Notamacropus eugenii: one gene and its partner. The protein of the gene in region 1 interacts with the protein of each later gene in a pairwise test. Links are inferred from orthologs where the notes say so. Each region holds a gene or a part of one and is shown in the gene's direction. Other genes may lie near its edges.

Region 1 (8,238 bases):
TAGAAATAAAATTTGCTTCAATAAAACCTTGGGAGAAAAGTCTCCTCTTTTTTTGCACATCAGAAAAAAGGATAATTTTTAGGCTTTAAACCAAGATGTAATAGGGAACTCATTACCTCATGAAGCTGCTCCTTCCATTGTTGCACAGCAATGTGTTGGAGAGTTTTTTATATGGAGTCAAAATCTGCTACCCTAGAGATGATAACATATTTTTCTCTCTTCTCCAAAGAGAAGTGAAGGACTACAGGTACAGAATGTTGTATTCAATGTGAGATATGACCTCCCCACCCCCCAACAGGTTTTCTTGGCCACAAGGAGGAAAAGGAATGGAAACATATCAAGTTTTTAATGTAATATAAAAACAGGCATCAATAAAACCTTTTTTTTTTTTTAATGTCTTTTTATAGCTTCTAGCTACTGGTTCTAGTTCTGATCCCTCTTCCACATGAAAGACTTTGATTATAACAGTGTGCTCAAATCTGGGTTAAGGCAGAGAAAATGGGTCTCAGGTTCTTTGCTTCTTTGTCCTGTACCACAGCATTTTTAATTATTTCATTGCCATCTGGCAACCACCAGCTGCTGCCTCTGTTCTCAGCCTAGTGGGCTTTGAGCACTTTCCCCTTATCCTCCTGTGCTTTATTGATGACAACAAAAAGACAGTTCAGAATGGGAGTAGCCAGGGAGAAGTAGAGTTGCTGAGATCCTATCCTGCAACTTCATTGGTAAAGTCATGGCCCAGAATTGCAGAAATTATCTGGCCCAGCACAACCTAGTTGGCAGCTGCTAGCTTCCCTAGAGAATGTAGCCAATGTCTGAGATAATTCCCATTCATTTTGTGTATGTAAAAGGAGGTTTATTATAAACCACTAAACTTCCCAGATTTACTATATTATTTATTTTCCTTTTTTTATTACTGTCAGGGTGAGGCTGACTGATTTATTCAAGTCATGCTACCCCTCTTAAAGTGAAAAAAAAAAGAAACAACCAATCACTCTCAATTGTAGGCTTTAGACCTATTGGTCCATGGCTAGATTTCAGTTAAGTTTGTGAAACTGAATGGGAAGAAAAGTTGCACCACTAACTTCTAAATGAAATTTCTTTATTTTAAAACATTATGTTAAGGAGTCCATAGGTTCTGTCAGACTTCGAAAGGAGTCTATAACACACACATACACACACACACACACACACACACACACACACACAAGTTAATAATCCCAGCTTTACAATAAATGAAAAAATTCCTTTGAATTAGAGTGACATTGCACAGAAACTTTTGATCACATTCCAGGAATCATCTATAAATTATCAAGCTTGCTTAAAACTAGAGGAATTTGAGGGGTTACAACATTTAAAAAAAAAACAAAACCCTTTTAGGAAGAACCATGGGCACTGGAAGTAGAAACCTGAAGTTAAACCTTGGTCAGAGGAGGACCTTATGGATTTTGAAGGGTCCGGAGAATGTTGGACTTCTCATCTTCCTATTGGTGTTCTGGTGGTATCCCCAGATCAGCTGATGGCAGGGTCTGCATTGGGAGCCAAAGACAAATTGAGCATAGACTTATAGAACCACAAATAGCTTAGAAATCAAACCCAGAGCTCTGATCTACCCCTTTGCAACATTTGTTCCCTAAACTTGAGTTGACTTTTCCCTGGTCTCTATATACTTGTGTCCACAGACTTTTATGGAGATGTTTTCTACAAACTTTGCTAATTATGCCAATTTAGTAAATATGTAAAAGTTACGTAAGGCTGGTTGACTAAAATGATTCTCAACTGATAACCTCAGGGGTGAAAGAAGCATGCTGGTGGGGGTTTGAGCTGATGTCATTAGAGAATTACCTCCTGGATTTTCCTCAAACTCTGAGGTGGGGGGTGGGGTGGATATGTAATGTTTTTACAAGACCTGAGGTCCATCTGTAAAAATGGGAGTTGGATCAAGGATCCCCAGAGTTTCTATGGGCTACATTATGAACTTACTAAACACAAACACTTCAACATGCAAAGAAGAAAAGAGGATTGCATAAAATTGAACGTGTTACATACAATTTTTTAAAAATATGTTAAATTTAACATGGTAGTAACAAAAATGCCCTATTTGTCAGTGTCCCCTTCTGAACTTCCTTTTGTTCTGTGTATTATAATATCTCATTAAAACTCTCTTTAATCCTTCAGGTTTATTTTCCCATAGGTCACGAGCAGTCATCGAGAAAAAAGATTAAATCTTGCCTTGGGGATTATTAGTTATGGTTACTGTAAAAATGTTGACTGAGAGAGTTTACATTAACTTTTGAAATGTTTCATAATATGTTCCACTCGTCAAACTACTTTGCTAGACTATGATCAGAGAGGGCTGAGAAAATTGTAACAGCTGGATCCAAGCAGAAAACATTTTCAGTGGATAGGGTCAGAACCATGAGTCATATGCACAGAAATAACCAAAAGGAGGCATTGCTGAAGAGGCTAGTTTGTACTGATTGTGATGTAGATAGGAGCTTCTCACTTTGAGCTCAGCAAAGACTGTAGTATTTAATAGCCTATTGTGTATAGAAAATCATGCTAAGTGCCACAAGAGAGGCAAAGTTTGGATAAGACAATCATGGGTTTTAGGGGAAAAAAAAACTTACATTTGTGTAGTACCTCAAGTTTTACAAAACACTTACCTCACAACCATTCTATGGGGAAGGCAGAGTGTGTGAGCCTTATTATCTCTATTTTGAATATAAGGAAACTGAGGCTCAGCAACTTAGGCCAGTCAAAAATAGGATTCACATCTAGACCCTTTTATTCTAAATTCAAAGTTCTTTTCACTACACAATGTTGTCTTTCTAAAATTCAGACTAATTATGTAATTAATTACATTGTCAGTTTATTTTCCTTTATTTTATTCTATTTGTTGCTCAAGTGGTATCTAAGAAAAAACTGTCAAGTCACTGCCCATGGAGAGTATTGTTTTACAATGAAAGAGTAGCCTAAGATGCTATTTACAAAAATGGGACGTATCATTGTATCATTTTCTTTGTACTTCCTTTGGGAAAAGTTCTAGCTTGATGATAAACAATGCTAATACTGATGCAGAGTGAGTTGAGATGAACCAAGAAAATAATTGATTCAGTGAAATAAGAAAAGCCTACTCTAATCAATTTAAGGACCAAGCACAATTCCAGAAGACCAATGGGAGAAATGATGGTCAATGTAGGAATTTGTTTTGGTTGATTATGCATATTTTATTTGACTATGAATATTTGTTATGAGGATTTTGTTTTTCTTGTTTCAGTGAGGTAGGGTGAGAAGAAGTGGGTGATAGGGATAGAGTTCCCTCCCCACCAAAAAAAATGAAAGAAAAAGAACAGTATTGAAGCATTAAAAAAAAAAATTAACAGAACTGAAGGAAGTCGAGAAGGAATACCAGAGAAGCAGGATAGCCTTGAAAGTTATGTTGAATTAATTATATACTTAAAAAAAGCAAACTGTACATAATAGAGATGTACACTTTCATGTAAAATCTTTTTTTCTCTTCTACTATGTACATGGAAATGCTCATTTTATTTGGTGTCTAAAGTTAAAGAAATAAAATTTTGTTGTTTTTTAGTTGTGTCTGACTCTTGATGACCCTGTTTAGGCTTTTCTTGACAAAGATAGTGGAGTAGTTTGCCACTTCCTTCTCTAGCTCTTTTTACACATGAGGAAACTGAGGGAAACAGGTTTAAGTGACTTATCCAGTGCCACACAAGTAGAAAGTGTCTAAGGTAGGATTTGAACTCATGAAGATGAGTCTTGCTGACTCCAGGGCCAGCACTATATCTACTGTCTCACTTACCTGCCCCAAAGAAATAAAATAGAAACAAAAATAAAGTGTTGCTGTCAATTACTTTCAAGGCCAGTGGAATACAGGTGGAAACTATCTCCACCTTCTTACCCTGACAGGCCAAATTCCGAGCAGGGATAAATGTACATATTCTGTATTTACCTGTCAGTTTATTGTATCCATCTAGTAGACTGTAAGGTCTCTGAGGACAAGGACAATTCTTAGCACATAGGAGACACTTAGTAAGCGCTTGTTCACTGATTGATACTTTAAAGCTGTCAGTGGCTCACAAAGGTACCATATGGATTTCTTACTGACCTTACACAATTGTGATACTCAAATGAGATGATGTATTTGAAAGTATTTTGTAAACTACAAAGTACTAGAGAAGTGTGAATTGTTGTTTATTTAGTCCTGAATTAGTTGTCCACTATGTGTTTAGTCATGTGACTAGAATCAGATTTTTTTTATCTTTAAACTTTTGAGAAGTAGTAGGCACAGAGATGGTATTTTGGTTCAAGTTTTGCAGTCCAGCAGAATGTGTCACAATGCCATAAGAGCAAACTGCTCACTAAGGTTTATTCTGATGTCTGCCTTCTCTTAGTGGTAGAAATAACCTAGGATTCTCAAAGGCTAAGTGGGACTTCCAAGGGAAAATAATCTTGTTTCCTGCTTTCAGTTTGTAAGCACTGCAGTATCACCTAGCTCTTCACAGCTATGTAGATTCTTTTAACTTTCTTAAGTTTCTTTTGTGGAATCATTTCCATTTCCAAGACTGTTCAACTCTAGATTTCTCAAAAGGAATGCTTAGAGGTCATCAATTCTTCTAAAAGTTCTATTTCCTCCATGTTTGGATTATTCTCAACTTTGTAGGATATTGTCCTTGGATACAAGGATATCCTTGCTTTGCTTTTTGATAAATTGCATTCCAGTTTTTCCCCCTTTCTTCTTTGTTGAGGAAAAGTATTCCTGCATGATTCTACATGACATTCCTTGGTATGTGATCTACCTATTTTTGTCCACTTGTAATATTTCCTTTTTGATCTGTAATCTCTGAAGCTTGGCAATCACATTTTTGTGTGACTTAAACCTGGGGTGGTTCTTTATTGGTGGCTCTCCAGTCTCATCATTTCCTGTCACTCAGATGCTTTCTGTCACTATCTTTTCCTTCAACCCTATTTCACATTACGAAGTTACCTTACTATTTACTAAAGCTAACCCCAGAACTTGTTCAAGCAATCCCATTCCATCTCATCTTATCCAACAGATTGCCCCATCTATCATCCCTACTTTCACTTATTTTCAACCTCTCCCTGTCTACTGACTACTATTCCCTCCCTACTGCCTACAAAAATGCCCATGTCTCCCTCATCCTAAAAAAAAAAAACTTCAAATGATCCTTCTGTTTCCACTCATTCTATATCTTTTTTGCCCTTTGTAGCTAAACTCCCTGAAAAGGGCCATCTGATGCGGCCTCCATTTACTCTCCTCTCACTCTTTTCTTAACCCCTTATAGTTGGGCTTCCAAACATCATTCCACCAAAACTGCTCTCTCCAAAGTTACTAATGATCTATCAGCTGCCAAATCCAAATGGTCTTTTCTTAATCCTCATTCTCCTTGACCTCTCTGCAGCCACTGACACTGTTTATCACTCTCTTCTACCTGATTTTCTCTCCTCTCTAAGTTTGTAGGACACCGATATTTCCTGGTTCTCATCTTACCTATCTGACTGCTCCTTATCTGTCTCCTTTGTTAGATTCTCTTCTAAATCATGCCTTCTAACTATAGGTGTCTTCTAGGCTTCTTTCTTGGGCCTTCTTTTCTTCTCCCTCTATGCTACAGTTATCCCTTCTACATCATGGGTGCTAGGGGCATGGCACCTCTACAATCTGGAAAATCTGTGTAATTTTTTTTGCCCTCTCTTCATACCAGAGAAGTCTGATTTTTTTCTATTATGGGGTATTTACAGTACCTTATTGTAAAGTTTGGTTAAGTCTTTGGTCATAGACTATATTTTATGCATTTCTGAGTTTCTAAACTTTTTCTGAGTTTCTGATTTTTTTCTGTGTCATCTGCTGGCCTCCATGTGTCATCTTCAGCTTCTGTAAAATTCTCCCAAAATTCCCATTTAATTTCTTATGCTGATTCATGATATATCAAAACCTCAGTGGGGAAAATTGTGATGTGGAAGGGATACCTGTACTTTACTTTGTGATCTCAGTAGCTTTCATGGATTTAATTACCAACTCTATCCTGATAATTCTCAAATCTATCTATCTTACATCAAACTCTGTGCTGACTTCTAGAATCTCACATCTCCAACTGCCTTTCAGACATCTTAAACTGGATGTTTAATAAATACCTTATGTCCACTAAATGTCCAATAAATACACTATATCCAAAACAGAACTCATTATCTCTTCCCCAAATTCTCTCCCTCCCACCTTCCCTATTACTATAGAGGGCAATGCCATCCTCCCAGTCTCTGAGTCTCACAACCTATGACTCATCCTGGATTCTTCATTATCTCTTACTCCCCCCTCCCTACCCTACATTCCATCTGTTTAAAAGGATGTCAATTTCACCTTTGAACCATCTCTTAAATATATTTTCTTTTCTCTTATGATGTTGTCACCACTCCAGTGTAGGCATGAATCACCTCAGCATCTGGATTACTGTAAAAGCGTACTGGGGGGGGGGGGGGGGTCTACTTGTCTAGACTCTTGCCTTACTTTAATCCTTTTTCTACTCAGCCACCAAACTCTTCTTGATAAACACCAGTTGCTACCTATTGCCTCTAGGATCAAATACAAAGTGTTCTGTTTAGCATTCAAAGCCCTTCATAACCAACCCCTCTCCTACCTTTCCAGTATTATACATTACTCCCTGATATGTACTCTTCAATCCAGTGACAATAGCCTCTTGGCTGTCTAACAAACAAGGCACTCCATCTCTTGGCTCTGGACATTTTTCTCTGGGTGTCCCCTACGCTTGGAATATTTACATTCCAACTACTGACCTCCCTAGGTTTCAAGTCCCAACTAAAATCCTATTTTTTTTTTTTTACTGGAACCCTTCCCCAACCCCTCTTCATTCATGTGCCTTCTCTCTTTTATTTTCTATTTATCCTGCATATAACTTGCTTTATCTATCTATCCATCTATCCATCTATCTATCTATCTATCTATCTATCTATCTATCTATCTATCTATCTATCTGTAAAATTTGTATCTTGTCTCCCCATTTGTAAGCTTCTTCTGAGGGCAGAGACTGTCTTTTGTTTCATTTTGTATCCCTAGCACTTAGCACAGTGCTAAGTTCATAGTAGGTGCCTAGTAAATGTTTATTGATTGATTATGCATACTATTGATTACTTTACCCTCTAATTCTTATATTTCTAGGCAATTTTTCTGATTTCCTGAAGTAAGCATGATCCTCATACTTTTTGTTCAATAATGTTTTTCTGGAAGTTCAGTAATTCTTAGGTGGACTCTCCAAGCCCTGTATTTCAGGCAAATTATATTTTGTTACAAAGACCTCCCAAGTTTGCTGTCTTTTGGCTCTGCAGTAATATCACTGAACTTTTTTCTTTCTTCCATTCTTTTTTTACCAAGTACCCATTGCCTTGCTTATGTTTTATAACTTCTCTTCAAAGTCATCAATTCTTCCTTGGAGATTTTCATCATAGGACATATTCTCTTCTTCTGGATAGTTCTTACTGTTCTCTTACTATTTCAGGGGACTTTTATTTGCTTGCTCATTTTTAAGTCTTTTTGCTGTTGTTATTATAAGAAATTCCTTACTTTCTCTTATATTCTATTGTTCCTTCAATTTATCTGTCAAATGTCTGTTTTGAGCTAATGAGGCTAACTGAAAACCTCTGATGCAGCCATATGGATGGAAGCCCCCCTCAGCAGGTATTTGATACCTCTTTCTGGAATGAATGCATGAGAATAGTTAGAGATGATGCTTGAAAGGAATGTTAAAACTTGAAATAAAAGACCTATATTAATCCTTGGATGTCAAAATGAGGTTAAACTTTATCTTTTAGGCAATGAGAAGTTATTGTGCGCTGCTGAGGCAGTATTGGGGAGTCACGTAAGATAAATTATAATTAGGAAGCTTAATCTAGACAGCAGAAAACAGGGAGGATTGTAGAGTGAAACCAGTTAAAAGACTACTGCATAAGCCCAGGTCACAAGGGCCCAAACAAGGGATATTTGAAAACAATGAACCAATGGGAGAGTGATTGTAAAGGAGACAGCAACCACCTGGTTATATCAGGCCAGAGGGAGGAGGTGAGAAGGAAAGAGAATCGCTGTAAATAGAGAAGGACAAGTAAAATATAAGTTCAAAGTTCTGAGCCTTCTGAGGATGATACGTAATTCTCATTAAAAAAAAAAAAAGTCAAGAGGGGAATTGTTTTTAG
Region 2 (8,156 bases), on another chromosome or scaffold:
CCATTCTAATTTTTAAAGAACTATTTTCTTCAGTGAGCTTTTGAATCTTCTTTTCCAGTTTGCTAATTCTTCTTTTTAAAGGATTCTTCTCCTCATTGGCTTTTTTGACCTCTTTTGCCATTTGGGTTAGTCTAATTTTAAAGGTGTTATTTTTTTCAGCATTTTTTTGGGTCTCCTTTAGCAAGCTGTTGACTTCTTTTTCATGATTTTCTTGCATCATTATCGTTTCTTTTCCCAATTTTTCCTCCACCTCTTTTACTTGATTTTCAAAATCCTTTTTGAGCTTTTCCATGGCCTGAGACCATTGCATATTTTTTTTGGAGGCTTTGGATGTAGAAGCTTTGCCTTTGATGTCCTCCTCTGATGGTAATCATTGTTCTTCCTTATCTGAAAGGATGGAAGAAAATACCTTTTCATCAAGAAAGTAACCTTTTGTAGTCTTATTTTTTTCCCCTTTTTTGGACATTTCCCCAGCCAGTTACTTGACTTTTGAGTCCTTTGTCAAGTGGAGGGTATACTCCAGGGACCTGTAAGTTCTCAGTTCCTCTAAGGTGGCACAATTAAGGGCACAATCTCCTGGCCTGTACTCTGATCTGTGAGCAACCACAATCACTCATTTCTGTCCTGAAATTATGAATAGGGTTCCCTCTCCACAGTCACCACCTGCTCCACCACTCCAGCACCAGTGCTCCTTCTCACCCCATGACTGCTACTCTGGACTGGGACGAAGATCAGCTCTTTGATTCCCCCAGGGTCTTTAGGCCAAGGGCTCTAAAAGTGGACGCTGCTGCTGCAGTGGCTGCTGCTGCCCTGGGGCCAGGGCTGGGGCCAGATCATGCTCCCCTCCCATCCAGGTGAAAGAGCTTTCTTACTGACCTTTGAAACTATCTTTGGTGTTGTGGGTTGAGAAATTTGGGAGACTCAGCTGCTACCCATGCTTCCGCACCCTGAGACATGCTCCAGTCCTGTCCTTGCTGCATGCCAAGACCAGGCTGTGCTCTGTGCTGAACCTGGTGCAGTAGGCCCTTCCTGTTGGCCTTCCAGGCTGTCTTGGGCTGGAAATCTGTTTCATTCTGTCATTTTTTGGCTTCTGCTGCTTTAGAATTTGTTTAGTCATTTTTACAGGTATTTATGGGCAATGGGGGGAGACATAGAGCAGGTTTGTCCTTCTACTCCACCATCTTGGCTCTGCCTCCCCATTTTTTCAAAAAATATGTTTCTTGTAAGAATCAGACTGTGGAGTTTTGTTTTATTATTCAATCTGTCACTTTCTTTCATTTTATGGATTGTTTAACCCAATCACGTTTAAAGCTACAAATTGGGTTTATGTTTTCCTCCAGTTTTTCCTAATGCTGTTTTTCTACAAATTACGGGTTTTTTTCCCATTCTAAACACAGTATAATGTCTCTTCAGTTATTTTACCTTAATCTTTTTTTTAAGGTGGCCCTATTCCCACTGGCTTTTCCCCCTTCATCCACAAGTCCCATTTTCTATTTTTTGCTCCTTTTCCTGATTTTTGGAGTTTTGCTTATTAGTTTCTTATTTTTTAAAATTTATTTATTTAATTCTTCCCTTCTTTTCCCCCTCTTGGTTAAGTAATCAAGTAGAATTCTCTTTTTTCTCCTCCTGATCAGTGCTTTGTTAGTTTTTAAAATTTTTATTTCCTGTATCTTTTTTCTAAAAAGAAGTTCTTTCTTTCATTCTCTTCATCACTTATCTTCCCTTTCTGCCTAGTTTAGACCTTTATTCTTTGATTCATGGCCCACAAATTTATTTAGTCATTCTCTTTTCTCTGTGTATCTTGTGGAATTAAGCCTTTTGAGGTTCCTATTTTGGGTTCTTTCTTTTAAACACTGATTTTACTTGGGATCTTACTACTACTTTGGGATCCTACTACCTCTCTGACATCTCCTTGTCTATCTCTTTTGCTGGATCCTAATCCAAATCACACCCTCCACTGGAGGGACACTTAAAATCCCTCAGGGTTCTGTCCTGGCTCTCTTCTCTCCTCCTTCTACACTATTTCACTTGCTGATCTCATCAGATCCCATGAGTTTAATTACCATCTCTATGCTGACCATTTTCACATCTTCCTTTCCTGGCCCAATCTCTCTGTTGGTCTCCACTCTCTAATCTCCAACTGCCTTTCAGACATCTTGAACTAGATTTTCAGTAGACATCTTAAACTCAATATATCCAAAATAGAACTCATTTTCTGTCCCCCTAAACCCTCTCTCTTCTCTCCCATCTTTCCTTTTTACTGTAGAGTTCATCACCACCCTCCTAGCACCTTAGTCTCTCAGTCCAGGAGTCATCCTGGATTCCTCACTATCTTTCACCCCCCCCCCCCATATCCAAGTTGTTATCAAGATCTGTCCATCTCATCTCTGCAATATTTCTCTAATATTTCATCTTTTCTTCTCTGATACTGCCATCCCCCTTGTGCAAGTCCTCATCTCCGTGCTTCTAGACTACTTCAATAGTTTGCTGGTGGGTCTGCCTGCTTCATCTCTCTCCTTTCTAGTCCACCTTCCATTTAGCTACTAAATGATTTTCCTAAAGTGCAGGTAAGATTATGTTGTCACCCTCTACCTCCTCCCCCAGTGTACTCAGTAAACTCCAGTTGCTCCCTTTTGCCTCCAAGATCAAATACAAAATGTTCTGTTTGACTTTCAAAGCTCTTCATGACCAATTTATCTGCTTCTTCCTCTGGTACTTTTAATCTTTTTAAAAAATAGCTTCCTTCCTCTATTGCTTACTTTCTCACTCCCTCCCCTTTGATGGTTTTCATAGGGGCTGGATGTTAAGTGTCTCAGCCTCCTTTGCTGGTTAATTCCTGGTTTACTAGCCTTTACTAGGTCTCTGCTCCAAATGACTTTTAGTGGGTAGAACTGGCCACACCTGCATGCTGGGCTCTTTTTCTCAGGCTCAATGAAGTGCCATACATTTCTTACTTCCTCTTCCCCCTTTTGCCCATTCTCTCTGTCCCTCAGTTCTCTGGTCCGATGGCACAGAATGCTGCCATGCTGCTATGACAGCCTGAGTGAACTTCTGCTATTTGGAGTTTGGATCTCTACTGCACTGTGGGTAGGGATGGGGGTTGGGGGTGGGTATGGAATTGAGGTCTGTTGCCAATGAATGGAGCTTAGTGAATGGCAGAGGAGGGGATGTTGGGTGAGGGCTCATTAGAGGGTAGGGAATGTTGGCTTTTTCTGTTGTTGGTTAATTTAGTTTTTACCTTGTTTGGATATTTGATGTCTTATACCCTGTAGAGAGCTGAAATTGCTTTAGCTCCCACTCATAATTCCCATTTTGGAGAGGTCTGAGAGTTCCTGAGGATCTGTGAAAATATCTAGGCTGCCATCTTGTTGGTCATGCATCCCAAACTCTTAAGAAATAGTCAGTAAAGATATATTAAGTACCTCCTATGTCCCAGATACTGTGCTAAGCGCTGAGGATACAGATAAGAAAAAGAAAGAGGGCCTCTGCTCTCAAGGAGTTCACAATCTAATGGGGCAAGCACAATACACAAAAGAAAGCTGAAAAGGGGGTCAGGAGCCACCAAGAGTATCTTGTAGGGACATGAATTTTGTGAAATGGAAACTAAGGAAAGCTGCTGGTGGAAAATAAATTCTTGTTGAGTGTAATTGCAGCAGCAGAAGCCAAAATAGTTCAGCAGGCTGGAGAGGGGGAGGGGGTTATGGTATTTTACTGTTTCATGAGCTGCTCTGGGTGGAGGATAAGAAAAAACACTGCAAAATCTAGTCTTGGGCTGTTGTGCTTTTGGCAAGTGAATTTTTTCTTTTACTGGCCAGAAGCTTTATGTAGAAATGGCAGGGGGTTCTTGGGATTCAGGGCCATTTTGTATGTTCTAGCTACTGTGCGCCCTTCACTGGCCTTGTTTGTATAGAAATGGGAGGGAGTTTCAAGGAGCTGGGGCTGTTTAGTGCATTTGATGGTCAGTCAAATCCAATTCCATGCAAGTCATATCATCATCTCCCAGATGTCCTGGTCCTTTTTGAGTAAGGACAAACCACAACACAACAACTTTGATGGCTGCCCTACCAGATTTCTGCCCAGAGCCTCTGTTGTTATGTAGCTACAGAACAGGCAAGTTCTCCAATTACAGGGGCTGAAGATGAGTCAGCAACGAGAGAAGAATGACCTAAACGACCCCAGACTCCAAAGCCCCTCCTGCTTCTTCCCATACAAGGCCAGAAGTGGGGGCACAGGGCTCTGCCTCACAAGGGCATGTGGTCAAGCATGATCAATGGGGTAGGGACTGTGTGGCTGCCCCTTCCACAGACCCAGACAATGGGAGGTCCCAGGGGCCCCTGAAGAATGTGCTAGAGAGCCCTGATTTTTTCCGCATTATTTATTTTGCTATGTGTTTGGGTGAGGTTCATCCTTTTTAGGGATGCTTCTTAAGTTCTGGGGGGAAAATACGTAACAATGTTTCATGGTTAGGCTTTGTTGCCCTGTCTGAGGAGCCAAATCCACGGGGTCCACACCAAAGGGCCTCCAAAACAGCACTGGGCAGTGCCTCGCAAAATGAATAAAAAGACGAGAAAATACGAGCCATGCAAACAGGCACTAGGCTACCACTGAGATCCTTATGGACACTTAGCGCCCTTGGCTCTGCAGTTGGAGCCTTGGGCCCCGCCCCCTTGGCCTCCCCTGTCGGCCAGCTCAGCCTCGCCCCCGCAGTCCCTGCTCAGCCCCGCCTCGCCCCTTTGCTCGCCAAGCCCCGCCCCCCGCCGCCCCTGGGCTCGGGCCTTGGCGCCCCCGGCCGGACAGGCCCCGCCCCTCGGCTCTGGCCACGCCCAGACCACGCCCCGGCGCTCACTTCCCGTCGCGCCTGTCGTCGCCCGCCCGCCCGCCGTCGCCGTCGCGTCCCTCGCTCGCTCGCTCGCTTGCTGAGGAGATCAGCCATCTCTGCCCTGTCTGGTAAGCACTCCCGCCCCTGGCTTCTCTCCTCAGGGCGGGCCGGGCGGCCGAGGAACGTCGAAGCTTCTCGAATCGCTGCGGCTCACCCGCGCCCGCCCCGTCGGGCTTCCCCCTAGGTGTCCGCCATGGAGGACTACCGCGGCCTCTCGGACCAGGAGCTCGCTCGCCTGCTGAAGCTCTACAACATCCCCCACGGGCCCGTCGTGGGTGAGTGTGGACGAGGAGGGAGGGGCAGAGAGAGGAGGGAGCCGGGAGAGGGGAGAGGGAAGGGGCGACATCTCCGCCATCCCTCCTGGAGCCTAGGGGGTGTGGTAGGGCACCGAGTAGGTGAGGCCGCCTGCCCCGCCCCCAATCCCATATGTAAACTGAGGGCACCTAGGCCCTTTCTGGCGGGTCCCATGCCCAAGAAGCCACCTCCCGATCCTCAGCGCTTGAAACCGAATGTGATCGGGCATATTGTTGATTGACACCTGCACGGTAAGAGCGTGAGATCTCCTGGTGGATTGGTGGGAGTTCTGTGATTTCTCCCGTCATGGGTGCACCTTCCCACCCCATCACCACTCAGGCCCCCCTGAGTTCCAAAGGCCCTCCAAACTTGGGGGATGCTCTCTGGGACCTCTGGGAACACTCACCTGTCCGTCCGTGAATCTAGGTTCAACCCGAAAACTGTATGAAAAGAAAATCTATGAATATGAAAGTCAGAGAACCAAGCTTTCCCCTGTGACTGCCAGCTCTTCTTACCAATATGCAGGTGAGGAGGAAGGGTGGGACTCATTGAGCAGAAATGAAATGCTTCTCCAGTTGTGGGATGACTTGGGGAGTGTGACTAAGGAAGGCAACTTTTCTCACAGTGTATCTTTCTGTTGTGCCACAGAGGATTTTGAGGGTGAAGCTTATGGTTCCAGACAGGGACAGGATGAAGATGAGGACATGGATGAAGGTGATGAAGGTGAGTGTGGTTCCTGTATCCTAGAAGGCTTCAGGTTCACCCTAAGGAGTGGTAGGGCCTGGCCTGGTTTGGCATTGCCTTTCCCTAGCTGCCTGCAGTGCCATGGGGCTGTTTGGAGGCAAAGTGCATGGTTGGTTGTTCTGTGACCCCTTGTCCCTCTCTGCAGCTAGAAGCCAGTACTTTTGGGCTAGACAAATATGAGCTGCTCCCAAGCGAGGCTCCAAGGGCTCTCACTGATAAAGGTGAGGGAGGAGACCTATGATTCTGGCTGAGCCTGGCATTAGTGTGCCAGGGCCCAACTGGGCTGGGCTGGCTTCTGTTATCCTTATTGTTTGCATGGACATCTTTTCCTCCCAGTCACATTGCCTGCCCATTCATTCATTCATGATCTCATTTCATGGATTAGCCACAGCAGGTAGTTTGGGAAGCAAGGATGACTGTAATTATTTCATAGTTGGAGGCAACTCACTTGGGGCCTGACCTTGGCAGCCTGCAAGTCTGTTCTTTTTTTTTTTGTTAAATTATTTTATTTTCAGTTTTCTGCAATCACTTCCATATATCTTTCCCCTCCTTCCCCACTCCCTCCCTGAGACGGCGTGCAATCTTATATAGGTTCTACACATACATTCTTATTAAGTACATTTTTACCTTAGTCACATTGCATAGAAGAATTAAAATGAATGGGAGAAACCATAAAACAAAACATAACACAAGAGAAAATGGTCTGCTTCATTCTGCAATCCAATTCCTTAGTTCTTTCTCTTGATGTGGAAGGCGTTTTGCCTTGAGTCCATTGGGAATTTTTTTAGGTCCTTGCATTGCTGTGGGTTAAGTCCACCAGAAAAATTCATCACACACTGTGGTTGTGGCTGTGTGGTTCTGCTCCTTTCACTCAACATCAGTTTATATAAATCTTTCCAGGTCTCTCTAAAGTCTTTCTGTTCATCATTTCTTATAGCACAATAGTATTCCATTACATTCATATGCTACAACTTGTTTAGCCATTCCCCAGTTGATGGGCATCCCCTTGATTTCCAGTTTTTGGCCACCACAAAGAGAGCTGCTATAAATATATTAAATTTAATAAGTTCTAATAATTTAATAATTATATTAATTGAATAATTATATTATTTTAATAATCAACAATAAATTTAACAAATATTTATCAAATAATAAATTTAATAAATTCTAACAATTTAATAATTGTATTATTTTAATAATTATAATAACTTAATAAATTTAATAGATATTAAATAAAATATATAAATATAAATAAATGTGGGACTCTTTCCCATTTTTATGATCTCTTTGGGATACAGTCCTAGAAGTGATATTGCTGGGTCAAAGGGTATACGCATTTTTGTAGACCTTTGGGCATAGTTCCAAATGTACAAGGCTGTTCTAAGCCCAAGTCTGGAGTCCTTGGCCTCCAACATTTATATAGTGCTTACTATGTGCTGGGCACTGTGCTTAGCACTTTACAAATATTATCCTTTGGGCCTCACAGCAACCCTGGGAGTATAGATGTTCTTATTCTCCCCACTTTACAGGATGGAAACTAAGGCAGACAGCAGTGAAAGGTCACAGCTAGTGAGTGTTTGAGGCCAGATTTGATCTCAGGTCTTCGTGCCTCCAGTGCCCAGGTGGTATTGCCCCACTTAGCTGCTTCTACCAAAGCCTTGGTCTCTGGCACTCTACCCTTTTCTTCCTCTGACTCTTCTAGTTGACTATGACAATTACTATGAAGAGAGTTACTCAACTACCAAGACTTATGGGGAGACTGATATTGGAGCCATCCCAGCAGCCAAGACCAGGACCAGCTTCCAGGAACCCCTGCCTTCCACAAGCTACAGCAGTGGCAGTTCCAAGCCACCTACTTTTCACCTGCGCCAGCGGGTAAGTGAAAGTTCCTGCCCCACTCCCCACCATCTAGGTGCCAAAGTCAGCTAACCTTTCAGTCTTCCATATCAACTATTAAATGATGAAGGGTTAGACTGTGATGCCATTGATATTGGAGCAAATTCCTCAATGAGGAAGTCCCCTGTGCCACAACATACTGGTACCATAACTTTAGCAAGTTTCCCAGAGCACCTAGGGCCCCCCAGACCCCATGTGTCAGAGAATAGTAAGACTTGGAGCCAGCTTTTCCTGTTCTGAGGCTGGCTTGCAGTCTCTGACACCAGAGGTATCTAGCTCAGGCCTGTGGGCAACCAGCAAAACTCCTAAGTGACCTCTGAACTCCATGAAAATGTCACTAGGA

What was found. The genes of interacting proteins can lie anywhere in the genome.
Region 2: the proteins of CEP70 (region 1) and EMD interact in binary tests that used the Homo sapiens proteins (3 or more experiments, as listed by UniProt). The two-hybrid records come from large-scale screens. The link is inferred for Notamacropus eugenii from reciprocal best matches to the Homo sapiens genes CEP70 and EMD.

Annotation. Positions count from the first base shown.
Region 1 is NC_092876.1:328,657,352-328,665,589, forward strand, and holds the start of CEP70 (centrosomal protein of 70 kDa), read left to right. Parts: upstream 1-4,786; 5' UTR 4,787-4,804; intron 4,805-8,238.
Region 2 is NC_092879.1:9,699,845-9,708,000, reverse strand, and holds the start of EMD (emerin), read left to right. Parts: upstream 1-4,765; 5' UTR 4,766-4,947; intron 4,948-5,063; 5' UTR 5,064-5,072; coding exon 5,073-5,154; intron 5,155-5,599; coding exon 5,600-5,698; intron 5,699-5,821; coding exon 5,822-5,896; intron 5,897-7,619; coding exon 7,620-7,792; intron 7,793-8,156. UniProt on the Homo sapiens protein: Stabilizes and promotes the formation of a nuclear actin cortical network. Stimulates actin polymerization in vitro by binding and stabilizing the pointed end of growing filaments. Inhibits beta-catenin activity by preventing its accumulation in the nucleus.